2 linked regions of the Lepisosteus oculatus genome follow. The protein of the gene in region 1 interacts with the protein of each later gene in a biochemical or structural test. Links are inferred from orthologs where the notes say so. Each region holds a gene or a part of one and is shown on either strand. Other genes may lie near its edges. The genes, in order: coil and vrk1.

Region 1 (15,347 bases):
GGAAGCCCTGGGAGACACCTGTCCCACTGCAGGAGCCCACTGGAGAAACCACTGCTGCCCAGCCAGGATCCTGCAGGACCCTCAAGCCACGGCAGGCAGGGGTCGCCTCCTGTCCCACCAGTGCGCTGGGAGGTGGGTCTCTGCTGCGCCCCTCACCAGCCCGGACCCCTCTGACAGAGACGCAGCCCCTCAGTGCGCCCGTCTCTGCTGGTCCAGCTCACCGTCACGGTCACTACGGTCCACAGACGCTCACGCACTGTAATTCAGATCCCGAGCGATGGTCATGTCGGGCAGGTCATTAGGGGATCAGGCGATCCCAAAGACCCTGTGGATCCCCCGCGTGGGGAAACAGGAGCAAACACAGGGAAGGGAAGTGCAGAGCGAGACCGGGGGTCCCTCGGCTGGCCTGGCACGTACCTCCCCAGGTGACCCGGCTGGGAATGATCTTGAGCTTGTCTCGGATGGGCCCGTTCATCAGCTGGCTGAGCGTCTGTCCGTGCAGCGGGCCGAGGCAGCGGCGCTGCAGGGAGACTGCGGGAGACAGCGGGAGCGGGGCTGAGCGGCCGGCGCGCGGAGGGAGAAGATCGGCGGCCGCCAAGAGCACGAGCGCACGACGGGTCTCGGGGATCTGACACCGCGGCGCCGGCGTCGGGCTGGAGTGTGTTTAAAGACACGTTAGGGTGCCATTGTCAGTCTTTGTGCCCACAGTGCCCAAGAGCAGCCCAGAGCTCACTCTCCGTCAGGAATGAAGACCCCAGGGCGGGCAGAGGCTCCCCTGACTGCTGGAGGCGATCTGGGAGGAAGAGAGCCCCCCCCTCAAGAGGAGCAAGGGCTCAACACGGCAGGAAACCCGGCACTCGGGAGAAAAAGAAAGGCTCGTTTTTACCACGGTATCCATTTTTTGCCACAGCCTTCCGTGCCTCATCGGGGTCCTGGGTCAGGATGTTGTAGAAGTTCACCCCGTTGGTGTTCTGAAAGGGCAGGACAGGGTCCAGAGTGACCGAGCGCTCCTGTCCACCGGGGAGGTCATGACCGGACAGGGGCAGGGGCAGAGCTGGACCGAAACTGCCCCCAGGGTAGCCTGCCACAGCTCAGACAGGAAACTAAAAGTTCAACTACGACTTGAATGGTGAATGGGTGCCTAATCTGACCCACAGCCCTGCCCGCCCAGTGGGCGACTCGCTAAGTGTGCTGGATCATGCCAGACCTCTTCCCTCCTGCTTGAAGAAAGCAGTTGTTCCACTGGGAGAGTGGATCCTGCACCGCCTCCAGGGCCGTGTGAGCACGGCCCGCGCCCCTGCTCCCAGAGTGCCGTGTGAGCTCGGCCCGCCCCCCTGCTCCCAGAGTGCCGTGTGAGCACGGCCCGCCCCCTGCTCCCAGAGTGCCGTGTGAGCGCGGCCCGCCCCCTGCTCCCAGAGTGCCGTGTGAGCGCGGCCCGCCCCCTGCTCCCAGAGTGCCGTGTGAGCGCGGCCCGCCCCCTGCTCCCAGAGTGCCGTGTGAGCGCGGCCCGCCCCCTGCTCCCAGAGTGCCGTGTGAGCGCGGCCCGCGCCCCTGCTCCCAGAGTGCCGTGTGAGCTCGGCCCGCCCCCCTGCTCCCAGAGTGCCGTGTGAGCACGGCCCGCCCCCTGCTCCCAGAGTGCCGTGTGAGCGCGGCCCGCCCCCCTGCTCCCAGAGTGCCGTGTGAGCGCGGCCCGCCCCCTGCTCCCAGAGTGCCGTGTGAGCGCGGCCCGCCCCCTGCTCCCAGAGTGCCGTGTGAGCACGGCCCGCCCCCCTGCTCCCAGAGTGCCGTGTGAGCACGGCCCGCCCCCTGCTCCCAGAGTGCCGTGTGAGCGCGGCCCGCCCCCTGCTCCCAGAGTGCCGTGTGAGCGCGGCCCGCCCCCTGCTCCCAGAGTGCCGTGTGAGCGCGGCCCGCCCCCCTGTTCCGAGAGTGCCGTGTGAGCGCGGCCCGCCCCCTGCTCCCAGAGTGCCGTGTGAGCGCGGCCCGCCCCCCTGTTCCCAGAGTGCCGTGTGAGCTCGGCCCGCCCCCCTGCTCCCAGAGTGCCGTGTGAGCACGGCCCGCCCCCCTGCTCCCAGAGTGCCGTGCAGTGAGGGCTCACCTGCTCCACCACGGTCTCAGTGTTGGACCAGAGCTCGGTGGCCTTCTGGAAATCTCCCTGCTCCATCGCCTGCTTCACCGCCATCGCTGCTGCGTTGACCTCCTCCAGCCCGCGGTCGTCCAGCAGGGACTGGGGGGTCATGGGAAAGGGTGAGAACCCGTCACACAGCTCTAGACAGGAGACTCTGAGCCCCCCGGAGCAATCCCTCTTCCCACTACCCTGTGGACTAAGGAGAATCCGTAATCTAAGACTTTAACCAACACCGGAGCAGCCTGCTTGGCTGAACTTTTAATGCTTTAAAAGTGATGTAATGAGCATTCTCCCCATACTTCAGACAACACACTTTTTAAAGTTGCAATCCTGGTGAGACGGCAGGTGTATTATGGTCTACAAGAGCAACAAAATGTTATCGGAGGTAATGTAGCATCAGAAACACCATCAATTTCCATCACCCAGATTAAGCACCGGCGCTGTGCAGTCACACTGGGCTGAGAGATCAGCGTGTGTACGGGTCACACCAGACAGCGCTGCACTCTTACTCACTGTGCTGTACAGGTAGGGCCCCCAGGACAGAACCGAATCTAAAGAGAAAAAACAACAGTTTTTTTCATTTCACCACATTTCCAGGAGAGATACATGTGGACTTGTTTTAGCACTTCATTCTAGACGAGCCCAGACAAGCCCAGAAGAGCCCGAATCCCTTTCGCACCAGCGGCAAGTAGCAGACGGGGAGCACGGCTGGCCACTCAGTCCAGCTCAGCTCTCTCGGCTGCCGGTTTGCTAACCGGACCCTTAACCTCAAGCAGTTTCATCCTGCAGGACCCCAGGAATGTGGGCTACATGGTTTGCCCATGTTTTGTCCCATTGGGCTACAAGAAAATGTGTTCACCTCCTCATGCCTTTCCTAACAGCCCTTCCTCGTTCTTTCTGCATCGTTGCGCTGAGAGGAGAGGAGCAGACCGCTGCTAAAATTCTGCAGTCAATTATACACCGATCCCACTGGTAAATGGACACTGGTGCTCCTTTGAGCTCAGAGCCTCTTGAGGAGCAGTACAGCACAGACGTCGACGCACCTAGAGGAGAAATCCACGAGTCTCCAAGAGCAACTCCAGCAAATCTGCACTTGATCAGGCCCTTCTGCACAGCCTGCAATAGAGCACAGAGGGCACAGAGCACAGCAGGGTCAGAGGTCAGCCTCCCTCCATCCCTCCGGCTGCAAACTAGAGGAGAGCACGAGGCCCAGGCCGCGACCCCCCAAACCGCCTCCAGCCGCCTCTGCAGGCTCCCACACTCGGCCCGGCCGCTGAGCCGGCGCCGTGTCCCGAGAGGGGCGCAGGAAGACGGGGAGGCGTGCAGGGCTGCAGACGAGAGGAAATCCGCCAGTCCGCTATCCAGCCCCTCCCTCGGCAGCCTCGGCCCCGACGGCCCCCCTGCGCAGAGCCCTCCAGCGCGGTTTCACAGGGAGGACGCTCTCTCAAGGAAACACTCTTCCGCCCGCCTGCAGATCACCCAGATCTTCTTACTCCCCTCCACCAGACAGATTTCTCACGTTATTATTTACACACAGACAGCAAAGCGCTGATCCACCGCAGAGCCCAGACTGCTGACATCTCAGTTTCACTTCCCCTTCCTGCCCCGAGGTGCTGAGCGCCGGGCAGAGCGTGCCAGGGCTGGCCACCTTCCCCGAAACACCCCGCAGGCTCCCCCAAACCCTGCACTCCCCAAATCCCCACACAGGCTCCCCAGACACCCTGCACTCCCCAAATCCCCACACAGGCTCCCCCAAACCCTGCACTCCCCAAATCCCCACACAGGCTCCCCCAAACCCTGCACTCCCCAAATCCCCACACAGGCTCCCCAGAAACCCTGCACTCCCCAAATCCCCACACAGGCTCCCCAGAAACCCTGCACTCCCCAAATCCCCACACAGGCTCCCCCAAACCCTGCACTCCCCAAATCCCCACACAGGCTCCCCAGAAACCCTGCACTCCCCAAATCCCCACACAGGCTCCCCCAAACCCTGCACTCCCCAAATCCCCACACAGGCTCCCCAGAAACCCTGCACTCCCCAAATCCCCACACAGGCTCCCCAGAAACCCTGCACCCCATATCGGACAGTACCTCGTGCAGGCTCAGGGAAATAGCCGAAGCCATTTTGCCTCCGTAGGACTCGGAGAAGATGTAGAAGGGGACACTCTGCAAGAGAAGGAGAATGAGAGAGAGGAGAAGACTTTCAGCACAAGACTCCGAACGTGACGTTTCAAACTGCCCCAGGGCCTGAGCGAGGGGCTGAGAGAGGTAAGCATCCTCCACTTCATATGATAACAATAGCACTCTACACTGTATATTGCATTAGATAGTTTTCAGGCCTGAAAGAAGCACCTGTGTGACCTGGAATCTCTACTCGTAGCTTTAACTGTAGTTTGATAAATCCTGCAACATGCGCAGACCACCTCCAACGAGGCAGATGCACTGATTTATGGCTGGCGTCTCCCAGGTGAGGGGCACCTGTGTTCTCACCTGGAACTCTGGCTGGGCCTTGAAGAAGGCGGTCAGCAGGACCATCATGTCGGAGGCCACGGTGGCCACGTCCCTGGCCAGGGCGCCCTCGCTGTCCGTGTAGCTGTAGCCCGTGCCCACGGGGTTATCCACAAACAGCACGCTGGCTGCCTGGACCTGCACACAGACACCGGGGGGCGCTATGTTATCCACCTCGGGCCTGCACTCAGTCGGGGGGGGGCTCTGTGTCAACTCAGCTCCCGGGAGCCATTTGAACTAGGAGCTCAAACTCATCTCCCTACTCCAGCGCTCAGAAGAACGTTTCTAATCACAGGACGCCCTTGACGTTTCAAAGCAGGCAGGCCAGGCCGCAACAGGGAAAAGTGCACCGCGGAGCGATGGACTTTGGTGCGGGTTCAGATGAGACCCTGGAAACGATGACAGTGCGCAGCAGGGGGCGCTAGTGAAGTGAAGTGAGCACGGATCCGCGCGCAGGCGTGCGCCAGACTGGTCTTTACCCAGGTGGTGTTCCTCGGCCGCAGGTCCCTGTCCAGAGGCCCGATCTCTTCGAAGTTCCCGAACCCGCAGCCAGATCCCCCGGGGCCGCCCTGTGGGGCAACAAGACCGCGAGAGCAGTAGAGCAGATGCCGCTAATGAGCCTGGCACACGGGGCGTACAGGAGCCCGTGCTCTGAGGGGACCCCAGTACCTTCACGCAGGGGTGTCTCTGGGGGTGGAGACTCTGCTCACCTGCAGCCACATGACCAGAGGCAGCTGTGTGAAGTTCTTGGAGGGGTTGTTGGAGTAGTACAGCCACCAAAACATGTGCGCCCTGTCTCGCACGTCCACGTACCCCCAGCTCTCCCGACCCCCGCCCGGGGCCGGCGCCGCCCAGCCTGCGAGACAGGAAGAGTCCGACCGGTACCTTCAGTACCGCGCTGGATGGGGCCCACCGGCCCTCTGTTCAGAGTCGGGCCCCTGTGTGGTCTCAATCTCCACATCACTCATTTCGGTGCCGAGACCAGAAAGAGCTCACTGGCTAAACACACCTGTAACCTTGGAGGACTGCTGAAGATACTGCAGAGGAGGACAGGGTCTCATCTCAGGCTACAAAGACAAGCTCTTTATGCAAATGATCATGCAAATCACTGAAAGAGCGACAGCGGACTCTTGGACCTCAGGCCGCGGCCGTGGGATATTTACCTATACAGTTCGGTCTCTAGATGTGTTTACACTCGACTCCAGGGCTCAGTTCCAATGGCGCGGCTTCCTGATCAGACAGTTTGAGCTCAAGTTTCAGGTAAGAGTTTCTTCCTCTCTCGGAGAGCCAAAGCAAACAAAGGATTTTCCTGACCTGGGCTACCTTTGAGCACCAGAACTGTCTCTAAGCTGCGGGAAAGCCTTTATTTCCCTGCGATCTGAACCGAGCTAGTGCGCTCACGCTGCGGGGCAGAACCCGGGCTCAAGCGAACCGTCAGCTGATCGCTCTTCTGCGGCACCGATCACCCATCAAAAAGGAGCCCAGAACGATCAGCTTCCCCGCCCGTCTGCGTTTTTCTCTTCAAACTCGTGTTCAAAACTATAAAGAGATCCATTTTTAAGTTTCCCCGTTAACCCCCCCCCCCACAAAAGATCCGGCGTCAAAATAAAAACCGAAAGTAACACCGTGCAACAGCTCGACTCAGGGAATAAATCTAGAATAACAATAAAAACCGACAATAAGTGTGTTCGTATTAACGCTCAGACCTGCAAGAACAGCGAAGCACAGGAGCAGAGCACTCTTCAGGACCTCCATCCTCGCACAGTCATATGACTTTCCCCGTCAGCTGATTCCTGGCGCCTCATCTGACCAGACACCGCAGAGATCGCGGGGGCGCTAGATGGGCTCTGCTGGAATCTCCGCCATGACGCGCTGCGCCATCTTGGGAGGGGAGAACGGGAGGAATCCGGCAGCTCGAGGAAAAGCTCACAGCGGCTCTTTGGACCCCCTCCTTGTCGTCATGGGGTACAGCACCTCACTCGAGGTACAACAGCAGCGTCTGCAGCGGGGACTCGAACCCACAGCCTGTCAGTCTATAGACACTACTTCAGGGATATTTATTTCAAGGGCAGTGTGCAAGAGGATGGAACAACTTTCAAATTCTCCTGCCTCTGGTTTCCAGCACTAGGTGTGACAGTAGCGCGGGTGCAGACTACTCTATATGTAGACCGCAGCGGGCAGCTTAGCAATGCTCACGGCACACAGGTAAAAATAAACCCTAAAGTACCCGCCTGCTATATCGCAGGGGCTGTGCTGCAGTCACGTGTTATCACCTCGTACTCTATCAGGTATTACAAGCAAAATGATTAAGATAATAAAATTATATTAATGAGATATATGTTTTTATTTGAATTGCTATAAAACACAGCTTTTTTCTGGCTCAGCCCTTAAAAGTGTACGTACAGCTCAACGCATGTACTCTAAGGCCAGTAATACCTGTGAAACCCCGGCGTCCTGGCCAAATTTCCCATTGGCCCTTACCAATCATGGCCTCCTAACAATCCCCCTCTATGAATTGGCTACATTGCTCTCCTCCCCACTGAGAGCTGGTGTGTGGTGAGCGTTCTGGTGCACTATGGCTGCCGTCGCATCATCCAGGTGGGGCTGCACACTGGTGCTGGTGGAGGGGATCCCCATTACCTGTAAAGAGCTTTGAGTGGAGGGTTCAGAAAAGCGCTATATAAGTGTAAGCAATTATTATTATTATTATTATTATTATTATTAACACTATTCCCATCCCAGCACGAACTGCTTTAAACACCTGGGAGAAATGGTCTTTGAGGTCAGTGGGGCGCAGCTCGCCTCCGGTCCTCCAGGTGGCGCTGTCGGATCCAGCGTATTAAAGCGGTTACCGCTCTTTCTCTCGCGAGTCGATTCCCCCGGAAGAAGCTGGGAGGGGGAGGCTGTAGTAAACATCATGGCCGCCCCCACGGTCAACGCGGTGCGGGTCCGGCTGTACTTCGATTACCCGCCCCCGGCCGTGGCGGACTGCCGCATGTGCTGGCTGCTGGTGGACCTGAACCAGTGCCGGGTGGTGGCCGACCTGGCCAGCATCATCAGGGACCGGTTCGACTTCAGCCGCAGGACGGTGCTCAACCTCTCCATGCAGGACTGCTACCTGCCGCCCACGGAGAGCATCCATGTCATCCGCGACAACGACAGCGTCAGGTGGGCGCCTGCCGGCTGGAAGCATTTATTTTAATTCTGTAGAAATGTGAAAAGTGCGAAAGCAAGATAACATTTGTTAGATGTAAAAAAAATACTTTGGTTGTATAATTAACTTCATTATCTCTGGCAGTTAATTTTTCTGATTGTCTTTTTTCTCTTGTATTGGTTTCTGCTTCTCTAGTTGTACTTGTAAATTCTTCATACATTTCATATATTTTTTTTAAAAAAACGTAAAATGATCAGTCCAGTCTCTCGGCCGATGAGAGCTCGTCATTTTGCCCCTGCCTGCCCTCGCGTGTGTTCTGTGAGACGGGGGTTCCTGCGTGGCCTGAGCTGACCTCTTGGCTTCACCTTCACTGTGCCCCCCCCACAGGGTGAAGGTGGAGAAGGTGGCGGACGCGAACGGGTTCGACTGTGGCGGGGCCAGCGAGGAAGACTCCTGCAGGGAGATTGCCACCCGCAGGGCGAAGAGGAGGAGGAAGGACAGCGAGGCCGGCGAGCTGCAGGCCCAGGAGGACCTGGACAAGCCCACGAGGAGGAGGAGGAGGAGGAGGAAGGACAGCGAGGCCGGCGAGCTGCAGGCCCAGGAGGACCTGGACAAGCCCACGAGGAGGAGGAGGAGGAAGGACAGTGAGGCCGGCGAGCTGCAGGCCCAGGAGGACCTGGACAAGCCCACGAGGAGGAGGAGGAGGAAGAAGAGCGAGGCCAGCGAGCTGCAGGCCCAGGAGGACCTGGACAAGCGCAGGAGGAAGAAGAAGAAGAAAGAGAAGAAGGGGAGACAGCCGTCCGCTGAGCCGGCGCCGGGGCCGGTCCCCCAGGAGAGCGGGGCTGCTGCCGCCTCGGGGGAGAGGAAAGGGGGGGTCAGACCAGGTCCCCCCACCTCCTCGGACAGCAGCAGCGACGAGGAGCCCCGCTCCAGCAGTGCGAGCGCCAAAACCAGCTCCGCCGCCCAGCAGGGCGACCGAGCCCAGAGTGGGCCGAGCAGCTCGGTCCCGGGCGGGAGGGCAGCGGCCGGCCGGCGCCCCTCGGACTCTCCCGGGAGCACGGGGCCCGGTCCGGAGAGGGGGTCCCCCGAGCGGGCCGGGGAGGCCCCTGTCCCCCGGGCCAGGGCGGAGAGCTCCAGCTCGGACAGCAGCAGTGGGGACGAGCCGCTCATCAGGCACCCGGGTCTCAGGGGAGGTGACGCGGACCGGGCCCCCCGGGGTGTCGCAGGGGCCGCCCGGGGCTTGGGCAGGGGTCCTGCGCCAGGGGCCGGGGGGGTGAGGGGCCGGGGGGACGGCAGGTTCCCCTGGAGGGGGCTTGGACCCAGGGGGGGCCGCGGGAGGGCGAGAGCAGGGCCCAGGAACCACGTGTACTACAACTACAACGGGGGCGAGCAGCAGCACGACGGCGACGCCCTGACGAACTCGTCTGTGGTGCTGCAGGTGAGTCTGCACGCCGGGCGTCAGGACCCGGGCGGGGTCTGGAAGCCCAGCCCGGTCGTGTTGCGCAGGGAGGAAGGGTGGAGCTGTCGTGGGGAGGTAGGGAATGTGATTTTGTCGCGCACGACTCCTCTCCAGCTGTGACAGCTGACTAGCCCTGCTGTGATTAGGAGCTACAGTCCCAGCAGGAGCTTGGTGAGGTGGGAGAAGACTGGACTGTGAAGTGACCAAGGGGCAGGGAGGGGTCAGTCTCTGGAGATCGAGCAGAGCCGGGCTAGGGGTTGAATCCTGGTCCCGAGTCGATCCTGGGGAGTCACTCCGATGGGCTGTTGTGCTTTGCAGAACCCTGCTGCCGATGCCCCCAAGAGAGACTACAGTCTGCTGCCCCTGCTGGCCGCCCCTCCTGCTGTCGGACAGCTGATTGCCTTTAAGGTAAGACGGGGATTAAAAATAAACTACATTTTTAGTGGGTTGCCTTTTTCAAATTGGGGAATTGTTGATCCTCAAGAAAATGGGTCACTTCTGGATCCGGATGGCCGGGTCTATTCTCGTTCGAGTGGGGAATGAATTTGAGTAGTACGTTTTGAGGTTGAGAGTTGTGGGGAGAAACCTATCAGCCTAATCAGTCAGTGTTCATTATCTTCTCGCTCTGTGTACAAAGGTCAGAGGTTTTGGTTTAACCAGCTTTTAATTTTCCCTCCAAAGAGAGGTTTAAGACATGGCTCTGTGCAGAATGTACAGCCTCAGTGACACCTCCTGCTCCTCTCTCTCCATCTCCTTGAAACGCAGTTGCTGGAGCTGACTGAAAACTACTCGCCGGAGGTCTCCGACTACAAGGCAAGTCCCTGTTCTTGATGCAGGGCTTTAAGAGGAAGGTGGTGGGGTCCACATGCTGGTCTGGGGAGAGCGGTTCTGCGATTGAGCTCGGATGCTCCTGCCTGTGGTTATGGAAATTGTGCAGAACCCCTGAAATCTGAGCTTAACGTCTCGACGGTCCCAGTTTCTAACCGTCTGCTCATCCTGCCATCTTCCTGCCTGTCCTTGCCCCCTCAGGAGGGGAGGATCGTCGGCTTCGACCAGAGCACCAGGCAGCTGGAGCTGGAGCTGCTGTCGTCCGCCCCAGGTACCGCGTGACTGAGCTGGGACAGCCCGCTCCAGCAGAACCGATCCTGGGCTTTCTCTTTCAGGTTCCTCTGGGGAGGTGCGAGACGGACATGGGCCGGGGAACCTGCAGTGTTACAACACTAGAACAGGAAGTGAAGACGGGGTCTGAGCGCTGCAGTCTTGGGGGGGGGGGGGGCTCTTGAAGGGTCTCGGGTTGAAAACTGATTTTCCTCCTGAGGCTTTGCATTGTGCTTCAGCTGGCTGAGAGGAGCGAAGGACTGGAATTTGTACTGTGGGGCTGCAGTCTGATCATTGTCGGGTGCCGTTGTCCTGAGGAAACAGAGAAGTGGATCTGTGCCTATTTATCGTCATGCCTCCGTTAGTTGAAGTTTAGGTGGCAGGTGGTGCTACGTGCTAGAGCCAACAGCTGTGAACATCTGGAGTGGCTCAGTTGCGTGCAGTACAAGCAGCCTGCCGGAGTTGGGGGGCCTGGGGATTTGCACTGGGGGTGCAGACGGGTTTGGTTAGTCCTCCCCCACTCCTCGCCAGAACCTGTTCTCCTAAAGCTGCCGTCTCGTTGGCGGTTGAGCTGTTTGGGTTTTAACTGGTGTCACCCTGGCTTCCCAGCAGCCCCAGCCGAGCCGGGGAAGTTCGATCTGGTGTACCACACGCCCGACGGCGCCGAGATCGTGGAGTACGCCGTCTCGCGGGGCTCTAAGGTAACCGCCGGTGTTATGGCCGCGTGATCATGGCGGGGGGCGCGGGGGGGCGGGGGTCCCCCCTGTGGGCGTGCCGCGTGACTGAGCCCTGCGGTGTCTTGCAGCTGACGGAGCGCTGGGACTCTCTGCTGGAGCCGCGGCTGATCGTGGACGGCGCAGAGGGAGGCCTGGCCGGCGCCGCAGACTGACCAGGAGTCCGGGCCGCGACGCCGCTCGCCTCGAGGAAACTCCCTTTTAGGACTTTTTTTTTTTAATACTGTGAACTGGTTTATAGCGGCTCTTACTGCAATAAGAGTGCTTTTTTGTATAAAGTTACAATTGAGCAAGTTTTAGTTAATAAATGTTCCTTTTCAAAGCTACCCTGTAGCAGCTGGGCTCCTGGTGGCCGTGTCTCGGCAAGGCGGGGTGTAGTTCCCCTTTCCTGCCAGCAGGGGGCGCTTTGGGGAGCGTTTGTGCTAAAAGCGGAGTGAGGGCTGTAAAGAACAGGCAGGCTGCAGGAAACATAGCGAAAGCAGTGGGAGGTCTGCGCCCGAGCCCTGCGTGTGCTCGGCTCCGGTAGGACAGGACAGGACTGGCCTGCAGTGCTGATGCTACACTGGGGCCAGAATGAGCTCAGTGGAGTCCCTGCGCTACCAGGGGCTTGTAGTGGGGCCTGGGTGCTTTGCTGTGTGACCGTGTGTGTGTGTGGGGAGGAGTTCGGGATGTCTCTGCGGCTCGCGGGCAGCCGGTAGTTGCCCTGGTGCTGTCCTGTTCCTCTCCCCTCCCGCTGTTCTGCACGTAGCGCTGCGCTCAGACTCGGTTGCACCACCAGACTCCTTCGTTCACTCTGATCCCTCTGCAGGCCGCTATTCCCTCCGTTTTTGTGTGGATACAGGGGTCTCCCCGCCTGCTCCCGGGGAGCCCCACGCCTGCCCGTTCTCACCCCGACCGCTGGAGAAGCCGGTGCAGTGGAAGTGTTTTACTTTCCCCCTGCTGGGTATGAAACTAGTTCAAGGGCCGGCTGGGTGTTAGGGCTGTGGGCAGGACGGGGGAGGTTCGAAGACGCTCTGGGCGGGGGGGGGCCTTCACACTCTCGGTCTTCGGCGCAGCCTGAAACCCTGAAGCAGCATCGCAAACACGGGGAACACGCTCCGCCTTCACAACCCGGCTGTGTGGCTGCTCCCGGGGGGGGTGTGGTTGTGGAGGAGAGAGTCAGGAGAATGGGCCGTGTGTGTGGGGGGTACAGGGTGGAGGTGAGAGGTGTGTGTGTGGGGGTACAGGGTGGAGGTGAGAGGTGTGTGTGTGGGGGTACAGGGTGGAGGTGAGAGGTGTGTGTGTGGGGGTACAGGGTGGAGGTGAGAGGTGTGTGTGTGTGTGGGGGTACAGGGTGGAGGTGAGAGGTGTGTGTGTGTGTGTGGGGGTACAGGGTGGAGGTGAGAGGTGTGTGTGTGTGTGGGGGTACAGGGTGGAGGTGAGAGGTGTGTGTGTGTGTGGGGGTACAGGGTGGAGGTGAGAGGTGTGTGTGTGTGTGTGGGGGTACAGGGTGGAGGTGAGAGGTGTGTGTGTGTGTGGGGGTACAGGGTGGAGGTGAGAGGTGTGTGTGTGTGTGGGGGTACAGGGTGGAGGTGAGAGGTGTGTGTGTGTGTGGGGGTACAGGGTGGAGGTGAGAGGTGTGTGTGTGTGTGGGGGTACAGGGTGGAGGTGAGAGGTGTGTGTGTGGGGGTACAGGGTGGAGGTGAGAGGTGTGTGTGTGTGGGGGTACAGGGTGGAGGTGAGAGGTGTGTGTGTGTGGGGGTACAGGGTGGAGGTGAGAGGTGTGTGTGTGTGGGGGTGCAGTGTGGAGGTGAGAGGTGTGTGTGTGGGGGTGCAGTGTGGAGGTGAGAGGTGTGTGTGTGGGGGTACAGTGTGGAGGTGAGAGGTGTGTGGGGGTACAGTGTGGAGGAGAGAGGCAGGAGACCAGGCTGTGTGTGTGGGGGGGTACAGTGTGAAGGTGAGAGGTCTGTGGGGGTACAGTGTGGAGGAGAGAGGCAGGAGACCAGGCTGTGTGTGTGGGGGTACAGTGTGAAGGTGAGAGGTGTGTGGGGGTACAGTGTGGAGGACAACCGGGGCTCCCGCCTCATGTTTCAGCCGCTAATGGAAACACTCGCTGCTCTGATGCGCCGACCGCACGCTTGCTGAGCCTTAAATCATGAAAGTTCAGTGCTTCTTTCTGGCTTGCTGGCCTTCTGCGTTGCAATAAAAAGGAAAGATCACGCTGTGGAGGCGAGTCCTGGCGCGGGGTTAGTCCTGGGTCCAGTTTTTTTTTTCCGTGAGATGTAACTAAAACACCCCCGCGCACACACACGCACAAATAATTGAAAGACCAGGCGTGAATTTCTGTTCTAATAGACAATGCAAAAATGGGATCTGTGAAACACCGCGATCTTAACTCCAGCAAAATCAGGTTTAATTTGTTTTTTTTGTGTGGTCGATGTAACCAGCTTTTACCGGGACCGAACTGAAGTCCGGCAATCGGCTGCTACTGCCACACGCAGCTGGTCCAGCAGGGATGGACAGGTCAGTGTGTCCAGTCGGAGGTCTGGCCTTGAAGGGCAGGTTTCGCCTGTCCGTCCTGGAGAGATTTGTACGTCTCGCAAGTTTGCTGCATAAACCATCTTGCAGAACGTGTGAGGACTGAGTTACAGTCCACTATACACTAGAGATATTCTTTTGTTCAGCGTGGGCAGCTTGCAAGGGCGTCCCCTGGAGGGGACAGCAGCAGGTCCTGGGTGTGGATTTCCGGTCTGTCCGCGTCCCCTCTCGGCAGGACGCGCCGCAGGTCGAGGTTTGGCCAAATTCGCGCGTTTCGGAGGAAAGTCGCACCTGAGCTCTTCGGCTCTTCAGGTGAGCGCACAGCCGGGTCAGTCTGGGAGAGTACGGGAACGCAAACACAGTCCTGATTCCGAATACACCCCCCACCACCCCAGAAACCGACTCGACGTGACGTCCCGTGGGGGGGGGGGTGTTTGTTTTTTTTTGGAAGCGTTCCATCAGTCTCAGTCTCCGTCTCCCCGCCCAGCGCCTCAGCCCTCGTCCCTCCCCGCTCCCTCCCTCCCTCTCCCCGCCGCCAGCGGAGCTCCCCGGCCCGGTGAGGCTGTGATGTCACAGCCGGGCTGCTTTCCAGCGGAGTCGAGGAGGAGGACGGTCATGGTGCCGGCAGCTCGGGTCCTGCCGCCGGCTTCCCGCTAGACCCCCCCAGTGCCGCCGACCCGGCGCCCCGGGATCCGGGAGAAAGCCCCCCGTTTCTGGAGGATGGACGGGCAGGGCAGCGCCGAGCAGGAGCAGCTGCTGCGCTTCTTGAAGAAGCTGAAGGAGGTGTTCGACGTCTGCGACCAGGATGCAGCCGGATATATTCGGGTCGAGCATTTCGTTCACCTGGGCTTACAGTTCGGGCAGGGAGACGAGGTGAGGCGCCTCGCCAGGGGCAGGGAACAAACCGACAGCAAATGTACGCTTCGGATGCGTTTTATTTTTCAATTGCACATCCTTGTTTTCCCAAGAAAACAGCCGACGTCACACTCCATCAATAATGTACGGAATAGTGAGGGGTTATTGCCAGCCGGTTGTGGGGGCGAACAGAAAAACCTTATTATATCAGGATGTATACAAAAAACACGGGGAATTGTGAAATCTGAGACCGAGGTCGTCGGCCTGTTTTGAGCCGGGCTGAAATGTTTTGATTCTTGTTATTGACTGACGTCTCTCAAGTTCATTCGCGGACGCTTTGTCTAGGACCTTCGGTTGGAAATATTACACTTTTTAAAATAAATAACGGTGTTATTTATTTTGTGTAGCCTGTAGTACAGGTGTAGATTTAGCGACTTCACTCTGTTTAACTGAAAATCTATACATACACAGGGTTATAAATAATTCAAACCAGGGTAAGGACATTCCCTAAGGTGTTTCTGTTTGCGTGCCTAGTCTTGCGGTCGTTTTTTTTTTCTTGTAATGGTCTATTTATGTATTTATTTATCGATTCCTTTAATATTGTAACTGGGCTCCACGCCGGGGCGGAGATCGCCCACCGGTTGCCATGGATACAGACCCGCTGCCCGCAAGGCTGCGTGGAGCGCGCATGGGATCTCGTGCCTGGTGCCTCGCGCCTCGCGCCTCCTTGAACTGGCAGCGCGTGGCGTCGCGCGGTCTTCGGTGACGACAAGCGTCCGTCTCCCCTGATCTGAGAGTGTTGTGAATCCGGAATAAAAGTCCTTGAGAATCGGGAGTATTGCAGCCCTCCAAGATCAAGGGTAGAGCGCCGTGCTGTTTAAGGCTTTGTGGTCACTG
Region 2 (15,902 bases), on another chromosome or scaffold:
AAAAACAAACATCTGGAAATCAAACATTCAGCATGTCAGCTTTTTGCAGCTTTTGCATAATAAATTCAGACTGCAGTGAAATTAAACCATTACCTGAGTTTTGCGTCTCGAACGTAGTTGGGGTCTTGCAGATTATCCTCCCAAGGCAAGCGGCCACACAACCACTGTATCATACAGTACGCCAGGATCTCAATGTCTCCTCTCCTAGAGGGAGCTGGAAAGGAATTGGAAAGACAGAAGAAATGCAATAATGTTTCAAAAGATCCAACAAAAAAATCTTGATAATATGCACAGGTTTTTACAATATTGCCAACAACAGTAATTGGGAACATTAATAAAGTTTGATTTAAAAAAAACTGCTGCACTTTGACTATTACAATCTTGTGGTTGTGAGGCTTTCATTTCCATAAAAGTATTTGGAAAGTTGAAACACTGAAAAACAACATATTCAATAAGTTCAGCATTTGTCATTTTCAGATGAGTCAACTACCTTCTTTCCGCATTAAACTGAAGACAATTGTAAAAAAATCTAATTATTTAGATGGGTAGAACATAATGTATGTAAGTAACGCTATCTTCATATAGAGGGAATAATATTTTCATCTCATTTTGAATACTAACGTACCTGCTCCTCTGTGTGCATCAATGCTGGTGAACTCAATGGTCCCATCATGACACCTCTTTGGATCTTCTTTATAGTCTTTTATGTTCCCCTCTGGACAATACCTATAGGCCAGTCCATAATCTACTAAGTAAACCTGAGTTTGCAAATATATAAATATATAAATTAGATAAATATTTGTATCCATATCCATAGTTATATACAATGAGAAATATTATGCAATAAACCTATATTAATCTATACAAGTTTTAGATGCAGATTGAACTGCAGTGCACAAAACATAAATGAAAAGGTTTTATGTTGTAGATAAGCTTTCAATGATAAAAAAAAATAGTTTCAGGACATTTCTGGAAAATATCCTACTTCAGCTGGTCAGAAAGGAATTTAACAGCAGTGCACTAAACCCATTACTGGCAAGGAAGCTGCTAGTTATAACAAGTTGAGCAAAGGGTGGATTACGAGGTACATCACGGTATTTTATCCAAAAACCTGGTTCGTTCGGTTGATCACAAACAGAAATTACATTATAATGACCTGAAACATTCTTCCACATCTACTGCCAAATGCTTAAAGGAGAATAAAAACATTAGCCCCACGGTCCAGCACCTTTTCTACATTCTTCTTAAACACAAGGGAGTAACAATAACACAATGACTGCTGAGGTGTGAATAATTTTGAACACAACTGAATTTGTTTGTTAAACCTATTTTCAGTTACATCAAGTTCAGTTTGTACCAAGGGTTTGAATACATTTGAAGCCAAATCAACAGTACACAGCTTATATAAACTAAATTAGCCAAACATGCTGCATCTATAGCCCTGAACATTTAAGCAAGGAAAGAACAGCTTGAAAGTCATTCACATTTCAATAACTAAGGAAAAGGCGAACAACTAAATCCAACAATCCCAAGAGGTCTCAGTCTAAATTTTAATTATAAAAATAGCAGTTTAATAATATACCACTGTTGCATTATTAATCTCCAAATTAAATATTTGCTCATCTAATGTGCTTTGAACAGGCTTTGTAGTTATTTCATCTATTTTTTCAAGGTATCACATGCACAGCATACAAACATAGGTAGACCTCTATTTCTTACAACTTAAACAGAAATAATGTATAAAAAGCAATAACACAGCATTCTGTTATGCATCCTTATTACCAATCTTCACTTTACACAAGCACACAGACTAAATAAATTAATGTGAAAGGGTCTTAAAATTTAATTTAAGCAAACTGCATCAATCATTTCATATACATCGTAATATTGGTATTAACAAGTTGAAAAAAACAATGTTAAATACTGTACCATCATTTTCTTTCTGTTAGAAATCCTAAAATAAAAACATGACACGAGGACACTGACCTGATTGGGGTGTTTGTAGCTAAGAAGAAGGTTCGAGGCCTTGATATCTGCATGCACATACTCGTGCTCATGGATGTACTCCAGGATGTCGAGCTAGCAAGAGAAGACAAGTGCTTCAAACACCACAGCACCATGGGAGGTCAGGTGTCAAACCTATTTTTATACAACGCTCTGAAAAAGAGGACTGCACAGAGTTAAACAAATACAAAATGCACATACTATACATACAAAAAAACAACACTGCTGCTTAGCTACTAATGAAAACCAATAAAAAAAAAAGGTTTTTCACTTGGACTTCAAAGAACTCAAGAGTTTCAGTATATTTCAGCCAACATCAAGTGGAACAGAATTTAGTAGATGGAGAGCACAACAGCAATAAGCTTATTGTTTTATGGTCTTCTCCAGTACAACCAGAGAGTCAAATTGCTCAGATCTGAGAGTAACATGAAATTCAGAGCTCTTGAAGATATTAAGGACTTTTACCTCAAAGACCTCTGCATGTTAATATAGCCATTTTTAAAGTCAATTCAATGATTCATGACTCAGAAATAGCCAATGTAGTGATTTTATAACTGCTTTAACAGATTGAGAATGCTTTGTGGGCACGTGCAGCCTTGCTGATGCATTTTGAACAAGCCAAGACATTCAAAAATCAAGCCATGAATTTATAAATGTACTTGTCTACATCATTCAAGTTATGCAGGTTTGAATCTAGAAGTTTAAACAACAGAATTTAAATTGAAGGAAGGCTCAGTTCTGTATAAACAATAATAAATCAACATTTCCTTCTAAAATGACATTAATGGAGTCATATTATGCCAAGCCTCCTTTAGAGCCAATTGCAAAAACTCTCAACAAATGTCAAGTTTAGATTTTCTATTTGTCCTCAAAGGCGGCATGTAGCCCAACCAAAGGAGCCCAGGGATGGTCCTCTAAGGAACAGCAAACCTCAGAGCACCCAGATTTTGAAGACCAGAAAGAAACCAGTCCAGCCTTACCAGAAAGATCAACATAAAGTCTCAGATGATTTCAAAGGCTTGTATGAGCAAATGTATCAACTGCAAAGAACATTTCTAACAAAATAATAGGCCAACCTTTTCCAGAATTCATTTAAAGGTCAATGTTAATCTTTAATAAGGCAGTTACTATGCTCATATCTGAACAAATCCAGACTGAAACTTCTCTAGCTAATTGTTACTATTAGCAGTCCTTTTTCCAGTATTTTATATAAAGATAGTATTGATACATAATTAGCTAAACCCTTAAAAGAAAACATGGATTTTAGAAGACATATCTAATCAATGAGCAAAGAGGAGTGTTCAGTCTTTGAAAACCCAGGTAGGTCAGGGATCTAAGTTAACAGTAGCAGGGTGCAGCTCCAAGACTACTTTCTCAACATCACAGCAAGACAAGCTACTGGTAGACAGAGCTGAACTATTTGTAGGATAAACAGCAATGGCAAATTAAGTCAGGAGGCAGAGAAATTTCAGAAATTACAAAAGATAGCTATGGTTGAATATTTGTTTTCAGAGAAATTTCAAATCACTGCAATAGGTAAAAATTGTTAATTTTTCTCTTCTAGAATTGAAGCAGATAAATAATTAGCCTAAGCTTTTGCCAGGGCATCCCTGCATTACATCAAGTGGGACTTTTGGACATCAACACAGACCTTAGCTGACCTCCATCGCTGCTCCAGCTCAGAGGGAGCTTTCAGGTCCATAGAGGACAACGTCTAGTTAAAATCGAACATGTCTGAACTGGAGCTTCTGCTTTTATAATTTAATGAGAGCAACGTTATAATAATCAGCAGTTTCAACTGGCAAGAAAAATGAGCCCAACGTTAGTGATTATGCTCTGAATCAAGATTTAAAGTGAAAGGAGGTTATGCTCTCACCTGGAAAACGTTAGCACAATTAGAATGACAGCACCATTGTTAGCTGAAATCACAATGTTGGCGATATTCTGTTCATTTAAAAATCACAGCATTGTGCTGCAGCAGCCATTTGCAGAACTACATGTTAAATGAACACTTTCAATTAAATGACATTATCTTGTTTACTCTACAGTCACAGAAGTATGAGGCTGAATCAAACTACTTACAAGCCTCAGTCCAAGCTGCAGGACTGTTTTTCGAGAAAACTGCTTTCCATTTTCTTCAAAGATTTTTTGCAGGTCTGTACCAAATCGGTCCATAACCATGAACCTATATCTAAAACAGTGAAGACATTTATAAAAATATATATCACTTTGGATTTTAGAAAAGGTTAACAGTACAAGCTGTGATGATGAATTAAACTGTCAGGACAATGATGAAATAATGAGAACATTGCATTCTAATCAGTTGAGCTTATCAAAGAAAATGTCCTTATAAAGCTAACAAATAGTACAGTAATGTTTTTTGTTATTTCTGATTTTTTAATATTTTCACTTCCTAGTGACAGCACTAGGTATATTTAGCTGCTGAGAAAATTATCTTTGAAAAAGAAGCATTTATTTCTACAAAACTTTAAACAGCCCTCTAAAACAAAAGGGCTTTATTCCACACATAATAGAAAATAATGAAATATAATGGTTTGAAAAGTGAAACTATTTTAAACATTTGGCATATTAGTCACTAAGATATGATACAGTTTAAATTGCTAGGCTTTCCCAGATGCACTGCTGAAGACAAAGAAATGCTGAATTACGCAGTGAAACATTAAAAGCAGATTCACCTCTTCCCTCCCTTTGTGTGCAGTCCAGATCCCCAGTACGCCGGGACTCCTAAATATTTCAGCTTGTGAGACCTCACCCAGCTCTGAACTAAACAGGAAAAAACAGTCTAAAACCTTCACACCCAATCAGTCGGTCACACTCAGTCAACCCGTGAATGTAACCTTTCACTGTGCAGAAACCACATACAGCATCCAAAGCAGATTAGAAATGCATTGGAGAAAATTGATCATACTTTATTGAAAAACTATACAGTATAGTCAGATTCTGCCGACTGAAGTGAAAATTAAATCAAGAATGGGGAAATCAATTAAACGTGTTTAATGAAAAAATCCAACTTTCTTGTATGCTATGTAATAATAATGCAATTCCACTGAGGCAAAGTTATGAGTGACTGCAAGCAAACTTGCTAGTGGGCCGAATATTTACCAACAACATGAAAGTTTAATGAATAAAATATGAATCTTACTTAGTAATATAAAGATTAATTGTCTGGGGAGATGCACATGAGAATTTTAATTTATATAATCCAAACCCCTGGGCCACAGAGAACACCAAAAGCATTTTGCAGTGTGTGTATTTGTCCCTTAAGTTGTTGAAGAATAACTTTTTAATAAAAAAGTTTTTACGTGCTTATATATTTAAATGACAAGAGTGTTACAATCCTCACACTTATAGAAAGCTTACTTAGTTCTGGTTTAGCAGCTCTCATGTAGAACTTCAGCTCGGAAAAAAGAGGTCCGTTGTCACTTGGCTCCTGTATAAGCACAGTATACAACTGTAGTTTTCACGTTTGAACACATACCTTAAAGTTATAATCTATAGTATTAGAAATATAATTGGCACCCTTTTTCAGGTATTTACATGAACTGCACAAGAATCACCCACGCACTAAAATAATGCAGTCTATATAATTTGGATTTTTCAGTAGGGACTATTCAAAATCAACAATTCAAGTCTCTCAAAAAAAGAAATCTTACCACTTTAATGACATAAGGTGCATCACTCCCAACTGCTTTAGAACTCTCATCAGCTAAAAAGAAAATCAGATACGTTACCCAAGTTTGTTTCACAGTCATAAAAAAATTCAATTACAATTAACAGTGACAGACTTTTACATATCCCCTCACACATGCACAGCTAAAAACATCAATTTAAGATCGCACATAATGGAAATTAGATTTAAATCACAGGATGAATCTCACAGTACTTTACTATAGAACAACAGAGGTAATAATACACAAATACAGTAAACTGACAATAAAACCAGTTTATAAAGTGAGTTTTAAGACCAGATTTGAAAGTGCTGAGTGATTTGTAAGATCTGATATGGGTTAGAAGATCACTCCAGTCTTGGAGCAACAAAACAGGGCCCTTCCTATTCAAACCCAGACACCCAAAAGAAGGCGGTGCAGGTTACATTTACTTTAGAAATGCAGGTTTATTTAAGACCCAAGCAGTTCTAACCAGCTGAAAGTGAAGAACCCAAAACTGCACTGTAATAATCAAGCCTAAAAGAGATAAAATCACGCATTAGCCTTCCCGCAAGAGAGAAGGAGAGCTGCGAAGGATTTATTGAAATTTAATTGCAATTTAATGAAAAAGGAAAAAAAAGGGATCTTCAGAGCACTGTAAACATGAGCTTCTGTTGGAAAGATGACCCGAGAATACCCGGACCGATACCAAGACCTTCAGCCGGGGCTGACCCATTTGCGGAGTGGATAAAGGGAGCTCATCAGCAGAACCCGCTCCAGCCAGAGTTCGGGTAGACTCACCCAGGTACAGCACCCCGAACCCCCCCTCGCCCACGGGCCCGCCCAGCTTCCACTGCTTCTTCGCCGTGTCGGCCAGCACCTCCCCCGGGGGAAACCGCTCGGCCACTCTTCTCTTCGCCGGGGCCTTGCCCTTCCCCGCCACCTTGCCTTTCGGGGGCATCTGGCGTTACACACACAGTAAAAACACATGATGAGAACCACGAGTCCAAGACAGCTCTCAACACCCGCTGAAGACGACCCTTAGGAGCCGCGCTTAGTTCTTTAACCCGGGCTGTCAGCTGCTACCCTGGGAGTGTTTACATGCGGCGACTGAACCTTCCCTGTGGGTCAGCTGCACAAATTGAAAACACAGCACGACGAGAAAAGCCAAAACGTACATAGTAACTCCACAGGACATGAACTGCAGTCAAATTTAATTACGAGTTTTGCTGGAACTTCACGCGCTTTGTAACACATCACAATGTTAGGACTTGTTATTAAAACGTTACGGGGAAGTCTAACTTCACCGACTTATACGGCCTACCGGTATTTACTGCTTCGTCAATTTCCGTGCTCCTGTTTTGTTTCCAAATAAAACCTCAGTGATCGTGCAAAAAAACTGGACAGTGAAGATAGCTAACCTCTCAAGGTACCAAAACTTATAGTATCCGGAATAAACCAAGACTCTGAGCTCTTCCTATTTTCCTTCCTGACGACCACAACACTCCGAAATTCCCGCACTGAGAAGCAGAAGGAACACCTTCCACAAACACAGCAACAACGGAGCATCTCATTGGTCAGAAACGGGAGTAGTGCGCGCTTCACATCCGGGGTTTCGTCGGTGGTTGATGGTATTTGTAGTTCTTACACAGTGAGTGAAAAGTCGCGTTTGAAATACCAGGAAATCCTGTAAGATGCTCGTCCTTACAAATTAAGTATACAAGAACAGCCAATAGTAAATTAAATACCAGTTTTCTAATTAGACCATTCTAAAATTTGATAGCCTAAACTATGCCAAAACAACATTTTATTTCAGTTTTTGCTTCTCTGTATACCATGTACCTCTTAGAGACTTGTTATTTTTGGAATTCCTATCAGCAGTAGCGACAACACGCTATCACAAACTTAGCTTAATCAAAAAGTTACAGATGCCAGTGTCTCAATATTTCAGAAACTCTGAGATGGTAACAGCCTTTACACGAAAGAGTTGCATTCTTTGTATTTATTGCAAGACAGCACTTGTTTTGTCGGGGGCAGTAAGGTTTCCTCTTATACGTGGGGATGTAAATAACATTTTTCTCCCCCTTTTGTATTTCTGGTATATATGCAAGGTATATATGGGCGTACATGAAGCCTATTATTTGCATTTTATAGTAATTTTAACAATTGTCCATGGTTTCCTTTCAGCGAGGATAGGTTTAACGAGTCCAGCTGCAGCGCTGCTGTCGTGCTCTGCAGGCGGCTAGAGCTGGAGACCCCAGCAATAGGGGATGAAGGGAGAGGAGGAAATTGGGTCATGTGTCAAGGGATTCTCGGCACGGAAAGAAGCCGCAATCATCTTTCATTCACATTCATTTTGACCATCTACCCGGCTGCTGGACAAAATCCGGACATTTTCCGAAACGAGCAGAGCCCGGAGCGAACACGTTGCGCCGGAGAGGCAGGGCTCTGAAGCCGCTCGCCATTCGCGTCTCCCCGTGTGCGGAAACTGTAGCAAAATTAAATTAGACACAACACACGAAACCTCTCCGGACAAAACTGTAACATCCTTAACTGTCGGATTGTTCGCTGCGTTCAAAAAGAAAGGAGAGGCCTCCTGGACACACCGCCAGATTATTGAATACTTTCTTTCATATTCACAGTCAAAAGAAGAATGGAAGCGAAACTTTTTTTTCCTCACCCTGTTGATGTGTGATCAGCATATTGCACATAATGTATTCATTACTGACACGGCACCCGTAGGGGTAATTAACAATACTTTGAAGAGTTCGTTTGTGTCTTCATATTAATAATTAGTATTTGGTGCCTATGAACTCATTCCCAGAAATCTCCATAGTGCATACCCAGGGCACACTTAGAGCATTTAGCAAAGAGGTCCTTTAAAATAAGATGTGTTGTGCAAATGTAGTTTATGCCTTCTTAGCTTTAGTTTCTTTTATCTGGCTATTTGATATGGAAATATTGAATTTCACATGCATGTTAAAAGACTGCCTTATAAATAATTAATGGCATGGTATCCTATATCAGCTTTACAAAAGTGTAGAACAGAGAAAAGGACTTCAGACTTCAGCACCGACCTGTGTCCTCAGAGAGTTACTATCTGTTGAAGCATTTTGCACTACTGAATAGGAAAGATGCATATTTAAGATTCTGCATATCTTAGCTATGCTAATAACTCTATATTATGACAGTTCTTCATAGGTTAGCTTTGTTATTATTGGTAGTAATAATACTGATTGACTTCATAATGCATACAAAAAGTATATAACCTGGAACAGTGACTTAATACGACAGTTTTTCCAGCGTAATAGGACGCAAAAGGAACAGAATCTGAAAATTCGACTAAAATCCACATACAGCAGTGCACTTTATCTTAGGTATTACTGTGTGGAGAAAAAAATACAGTTTGTTTTTACTGAAATGCGGAAGTCAAGGAGATTGTGAACAGACAACATTTAGCTGGTTTAACTCCAGTCCTGTACTGACAGGGTGCTGAGCCCACAGCTCGAGATGGCTTACTCTGAGGACCACAGCAAGGCAGCACTGACTCCCTCTCTCCAGTTTACAAAGAAAAGCAAAGGCGAGAAGCGTGTGTCTTTCCCATCGGATGAAGAAATGGTGTCAGGCTTCGCTGAGCACAAGGACGTGTGGAGGGACGGTGAGCTGATGTCCTTTTTGTACCCTTTCATCTCTGCATTCCCCAGACTGTAGATATACAGTAGAGAGGGTGTGTGGTGAAGTGGAGTGAGTTGGAATGTAAGATCTATTGGACATTTTCTGGCCACTCATTCTTCTGTATTTTCAGGTTTGAGCCCCATAAATCTGAATTCTACGAAGGTTACAACCAGTGTCCCCCAGACTTTAATTAACTGGTCATGTGGGATACTTTGCAGCTTGTCTTTTTAAGTACCCTGATATCTCTTGTTTTTCACAGTAAAATGCTGCTGCTGATGACATAGCTAGAACACTATGGTACTCATTATATTTCCACTCGCACCCCTTTCCTAATGTCAAACCACTTTTTTTCCACTGCTTTTAAGGACAAAACTATGTATTTCAATGGAATTGTATCCTTAAGATAGCTTGACTGCACTACCACATTTTATTTTTAAAACACTGCTTTCTGTCCCTTTTAATTTTTTTACTGTAAGGAAACCACAGTTATTTTTTCTTTTGTGTCTTTTTATGCCTTTGCTGTTCCTGTTAGAATTAATATATCCTTATAAAATATATAAATAGAAACACTTTTTAAAGATGGTCCAGATCACTATGAATTGATGGACAATCATGATTCTTAAGAATTAATTTACCTTATTCTGTTTTTTACTGCAATTGTATTCTATTGAATGTTTACTTCAGAGTTCTGAGCCTAAACCACATAGCATCTCTTTTGAAGTATTTCAGATTTTCTGACCACAATTTGTTCTCTAGGTATAATTGTATCCCATTTTACTCTATCTGTTCCATTTATGTATTTATGTTTACTCTCTTTTCCGATTTAAAATACTTTTGATAATTCCGTCAAATTATGAAAAAGACTAAAACACATTTGCTGTGATCAATACATACTGTATCCTATAACTAATTTTATCAAGATTAAGTGAACACTGCCATTTCCTCAAGCCTCACATTAAATGTCTGCATTTACCTTTTGTAGTATTTACCTATATGCAATAATTTCTGCAGTCACACCAAAAAACAAAAAATCTCTCTAGCATACTTACAGCTATTTTATGGGGCAGGTAAATAAGCTCAAAAACATATTTTATTTCCTTAAAACTATATTCCAAAAGAAAAGGATTCAAGAGTCTGGGTAAGTTTAACCTGACCTCAATGCTCTGGGACAGGACCTAAAGGTTACAAATCCTTAGGGAACTTGGTTTAAAAGAGCATTAAGAGACAGCCCTGTGTTCTGTACTATCGGTATGCTTCTCCACAGGACAGTGTGTACCTCATGAGATATTTCTTTGAGACAGGAAGCACTAATGGTCATTTATTTGTTAGTTGAGTGTTTTTTTTGTTAACATGTCTCTAAAGCTGATTCACACAACCCTTGAGACTTCCTATAACTTTGGTTTCTCCTTTTTAAATAATGATACAAAACGGGGACAGCTTTAATCTAGATTAAGTTTTTAGTGAAAACTCAGTCCCTGTTAAGTGCGTGTAACATATGTTTAGTGAGTAATGATGGAATATTTTTGTTTCAGTAGACAGCATCACCTTGAAAGAGATAATAGCAAACTATAAGCAGGCCTGTCAAAAGCACCAAGTGGAACCCAAGTCAATGATTCTGGAACAGCTCCAGGTTAGTATATAGAGCATGAATCTCTGCACCCATCCCCCGTTCAAGACAATGAGGGTCAATTCAGGCTGCTGTCAGATTTGAAGTTGATTTAATGTACCACACTGGTGAATTATAGTATGTGGTATGTCTACAGTATATTGCATATCTAATATTTCTATAACTTGGAAAAGCACAAATGTTCAACAAAATAATGACAAGTCAGAGGTGAATCTTACACATCTTAAACATCAAAACTACAGAGTACACTTTGAAATATATTATAATCAGTTAATTAAAAAGTTTAATGAATTATCTTAATTACATTAATTAAAGCTGGTATGAGCAATTTTAAAAGGAAATGAGTATGGGTTAAAAGTTAAACCAATTAAAAGGTGGGTTAAAGGAAGAAGGTGAAGGGTTCAATTTTCATCTTATTTTACTGAGTTATCACATACAGTATTAAGGACAAGTATATATAATGAATTTAATATCCGTCCTTTTAATTTGGCTACCCTCCTTTTTAGCATCTATTTGTATTCAGATACCATCTGTAAAAATAATGATTAGATCAAGGAGAATTATTTGTCAAAAGATTGATATGATACAGTATATCAGCTTAGATTAGGCTGATTTACTGTATTATCTTGTAGAAGTAAACGATCCTGAATGAAGGGAAAAGTTTTGTAAGTGGTCTTCATGCAGCAGTATAATATGTATGGCTACTGTATGCAGCAGCTGAATGGAGAAATATTTAGATTTAGGCTGCAAGTGAAGTCATAATAAGAGTATGCAAAACAGAAATTGCAGCTTAAATAGCATATTTATTAAATTAGGTATTTGAAGGCAGGGTAGTCCCGTGAGAATGGCCTTGAAAGACTATTTAAAGCATTTATTGTACCCGTGGGCTTTCAGTTTCCTTTGAAATGTTTCAAGTAGATAAAGCAGTACTGCTGTTGGTTACATCTTCATAAGAGCGGTAAACAATAATGGGCTTGAACACAGGGCTCTGGGCCCTAGACTTAACTAAAGGCCTAACACCCTCAGAAGTTCTCTGCAGGGACAGATAAAGTCTGGAGTGTTGTGCTTTAGCTTCTGTGGCATGAAAAGAATTACTGTAATGGATTTACCACTAGAAGGCACCAAATTATATCAGAGAAGGGTTTGGGATGAGGGAATGGATTACTTATTAAAGTAAGTGATGCATTCATTGAAATTAATTTGCAAATTTACAACATCTACAACTGTATTTGGCCTAACGGATGTTTGTGTAGATGACTACTGCAAAAGCTGCTGTATATTTTGGAGTTTTAATTTCCACAGTCTTCGTTAAATTACTAAGGACATACAGTACAGTATTGGTTCCATTCATCAACTTTTTAGAAACTTGTTCCTTGTTATTTTTCACTTCCTAAACTGGTGTCCTTCAACCCAAAAATATGGGATGCGTTTTGATATGAAAGTTGATTTTGTACTAGTTCACCACACATGAAATAGAAAAATCCAGTTCTATTTAGCAGTAATTTTCTTTGTAGCAACATTAAAAGCCTATTATTTCTCAGCACTAACGAGGGTTTGAGTTTCCAGTGGAATGTGACAGTCCAAAGCTTGTGGAGGAGAAAGTCCGTTGTCACTCTACTAGCTTGTCCTTGTGTGCACCAGCCAGGAACTCCACACAACCAGCTGGAAGGACAAGCTTGCGTCACAGAGACTGAATACTTATGATGACATTATGTATTGTACTTTTTACACATGTACTATAGTAGTATAGCATCAAATATGCATCCTTGTGCTTTTGTTTTTGAAAAATACTTCCGCTGATGCACCTGCACACATCATTGGTGATGTTACCTGAGGTCACTGGGAGTTTCAGGTCCTTCAACGTCAGACACCCTCGCCCGGTGACTAGTCTGGGTTGGTAAAGCCCCAGGATGCGTCCAGGTGACTTTGTTGCCCACGAGTCACTGCTCTTGATCCACAGCCATATTGAGGCTCTTTCTGCAGCGTGTATGTGGTTTTGATGGCCTTCCTCTTGATCACCCCTGTTAGGCCCAGAAGACTGTAGAAGACAAATCCTCTGCAGCCCACCTCAATGGCCTCACACCGCACTCTCCACCCGTTCACATGACACTGGTCAAACAGATCTTCATCCTTTCATTAACCTCCTCCACTGGGTCTTCCCAACAATACAATCTGCCTGAGTGTGGTCACTATGATGGTGTTGGGGAACCTAAGCTGCCTTCCTAGGTCGACCTTCAGCTGCCAATCTCTCCCTTTTGCCAAGAAACCCACTGATACTTTGGGCTGTGGCTGCTGACCAGCTCTGACAAATGCAATGGCCCAATTTTCTAGGTGCTGATGTTTACTGCTTTTGATACCCCAGCTAATAGTGTCCGCTAAGTTCAAGCAACCTGGCACCTTAGAGATCCCATCCCGCACTGACATTTATATGTAATTGTTCTTAAGGATATGTCAAGTGCTGGGTTACAATGCTAAAAAATATCTTCTCCTCAGTGTTGAGCAGTGAAATGATCCTTTTCATTTTAAAATCAATCAATGCTTTTTGAGCTCTCATCTTTAGAAATACAGACACCCTCTCCCATCCTCTACTGTTGTGCCACTTTGCCTTCTCCACCGGACAACCTTCAAAATCTTCCGAAGCCCGAAAGAGAAGCTTCGGGCATCACCTGTACTCTTTCTAGAGTACTCCACTCAGGCCAGGTGCTGAGCTCGCTCTAGCAGCTTTGTCAGCCTCCTGAATCTCCTTCCAGCTGGCTTCTGTTTCATCAAAGTTGATGCCAGATCTTGCTGGATTTACCAAGCAGTCCCCGAGATCTTCTTCTCGTCTTTCATCACTGTGGGTATTCCACAGATAACAGCCAATGTCCTCTTTAGAACAGGAGAGCTGGCTGCTGCGCGTCCTCTCAAGCAACTGTTTGATAAATCCAAACAGGTTTGCAAAGAAGGAAGCTTGCTTTACCTGGCCCTGTCTCTCGCCCATCTCCTATGCCATTCCGCCCAACGCAGGGATATAGGCTTCTTCTGAGGATATTGCTTAACTCAGCCAGTGGTGTTCTCTTTCCTCACTTGCCTTTCACAATTCTCAGCTCATGTCTTAAGTGCAGAATTTTGGCAGCTCTCCTGTTCATTGCAGAAGGAGCACTGGGGGTCTTCTTCTCCACTGTACCAAACCTCTCAGCGGCAATGTTAACTATGATTGATTTCATGTTTTTACAATTTCTAGCAAAGCTTTCACATTAAGTTTGCCACCTAACTATTCCTTCATAATCACAATAATGTAATGGTATTGGTTCCACGACCATGTATCGCTACGATTTTAGTGCCCCAGATCCACAGAATACCATGAGAATACCTCAGCTACATTTTAAAGGGCAGGACTGCTTCTCTTAGTGCTGAAAATTATATCTTTTTTGTGTTGATTTACTTCACATACTGTGGTGAGTGGGTGGAAACAAGCCATGTTATATAAGAGCTGGGATTTTTAAGGCAGCAATACTCACTACTTGACCTGGATTTCATCAAAACCCCAAGTCAGCCAAGAATCTCAAATTACAAACATAATACGTGATAGAGGCTTGGTTTACTACTGGTTTCTTGCACCTGAATGGTAGAAACTCTCTATTAAGTGTTGGTTTATAACATGAAACTGGTGGATGGGTCAAAATTTAATCCAGAAAATAGTGCCAGGGAATTATAGATTTTATAGGTGATTTCAAATCCCCAGTGGCTGAAGAATTGAGAAAACCCTTGCACTTTAGACCATTTAAATCAATAATTGATTAAGTTATTAAGTGCTCACACAGACTGGAAACCAGGTTACTTCAGTTTCACTCTGGGAACAAGAGTGAGGATCACACTTTTAAGGAAAGGGTTTTGTTTTATACTCCTATCCTATATATTCTCAAATAAAAGCTTGATTCAAAAGCTTGATGAAAAGGCTTAACTGTCATATATGTATCATTCCCAAGGAGAAGCCTGCTTTGTGCTCTGGTCTAAAGTGTGCTGTCAGTAACATGCATGGACCCTGAATACAGAAATGATGCAAAACGTCAAGCCAACCCAATGAAAAGAAAGTAATGGTATGTATATGGGCCAGCAACCGGGGAAAGGGAAGAAATAAATGGGACAAAGTATGTTTGCTGTGATGAACATTTTCAAGAAGAATGAATCATGATGGAGATGCAGTGCACAATATCCAAAGAACAATAAGAAAGAAGCTGATCCTTTGTCAGATGCCAGGAGGAGGTCCTTAAGCTGGCAGGAGAGGCTGGATGGTGTTACAGTATACAGTGATGTTACTGGACAAAAACATCCAGCCGCAGATTGATGACAATGGAGATGCTATTTGTGTGTGGAGCTGTGAGGGTTTCACATTATACACTACAGTGTTAAAGAGCATGTGTCAGGTACTGCTGTTGCAGATCCTTGACAATCGGGATCTTTGTACTGTACATTGTGAACATGTTTTTGAATACTATTTGAGATGCCACAACCTGACAAATACCTTCCATAAATGTCTTTAGAAACAAAATAATTTGGAAATTATGTACAGTACATTCTTTTCTTTTAATCTAAGTATAATATTAAAAAAGCAGATTGGAAGTACGGACTTCTAAGATGCTTCTTGTAATATAACAGAATTTGCAGATGTCTTTGCAAATGAGTACAAGTACTTGCAAATACTTTATTAAACATTTTGTTTTTAGTGAGGAAATAAATTTGAATTTTCTCAGTGCATGATCATTAACTCCTGTTTAATCTACTGACCAAATATCATAAATCATGTTTCCCAGATTGTGATTTTTTTCATGTAAAAAACATGTGAACTTTGGTTTAATTTGGCCCTGACATGACTTAAAAAGTCAATAATAGTGAGACACAGCGTTAAAAAACAATGGTTCACATTTTCTTACACTTTTTTTCTTCGT

Evidence for each region.
Region 2: of the proteins of coil (region 1) and vrk1, one has a biochemical effect on the other in vitro, tested with the Homo sapiens proteins (2 studies listed by BioGRID and IntAct, with this or other methods). The link is inferred for Lepisosteus oculatus from reciprocal best matches to the Homo sapiens genes COIL and VRK1.

The regions. Positions count from the first base shown.
Region 1 is NC_090704.1:46,851,333-46,866,679, reverse strand, and holds coil (coilin), read left to right. Parts: upstream 1-7,398; 5' UTR 7,399-7,403; coding exon 7,404-7,801; intron 7,802-8,174; coding exon 8,175-9,225; intron 9,226-9,564; coding exon 9,565-9,654; intron 9,655-10,011; coding exon 10,012-10,059; intron 10,060-10,275; coding exon 10,276-10,345; intron 10,346-10,953; coding exon 10,954-11,045; intron 11,046-11,149; coding exon 11,150-11,233; 3' UTR 11,234-11,404; downstream 11,405-15,347. Other genes in the region: scpep1 (retinoid-inducible serine carboxypeptidase), read right to left, coding at 418-531, 887-971, 2,096-2,224, 2,639-2,676, 3,169-3,241, 4,217-4,291, 4,616-4,771, 5,113-5,202 and 2 more; rab11 family-interacting protein 4A, read left to right, coding at 14,316-14,468. UniProt on the Homo sapiens protein: Component of nuclear coiled bodies, also known as Cajal bodies or CBs, which are involved in the modification and assembly of nucleoplasmic snRNPs.
Region 2 is NC_090703.1:1,341,375-1,357,276, reverse strand, and holds the start of vrk1 (serine/threonine-protein kinase VRK1), read right to left. Parts: upstream 7,233-15,902; 5' UTR 7,094-7,232; intron 7,088-7,093; exon of another isoform or gene 6,997-7,087; intron 6,634-6,996; coding exon 6,474-6,633; intron 5,732-6,473; coding exon 5,679-5,731; intron 5,456-5,678; coding exon 5,386-5,455; intron 4,789-5,385; coding exon 4,701-4,788; intron 4,196-4,700; coding exon 4,087-4,195; intron 2,080-4,086; coding exon 1,987-2,079; intron 759-1,986; coding exon 626-758; intron 215-625; coding exon 94-214; intron 1-93. Other genes in the region: protein phosphatase 1 regulatory subunit 37, read left to right, coding at 9,183-9,330, 10,880-10,977. UniProt on the Homo sapiens protein: Serine/threonine kinase involved in the regulation of key cellular processes including the cell cycle, nuclear condensation, transcription regulation, and DNA damage response.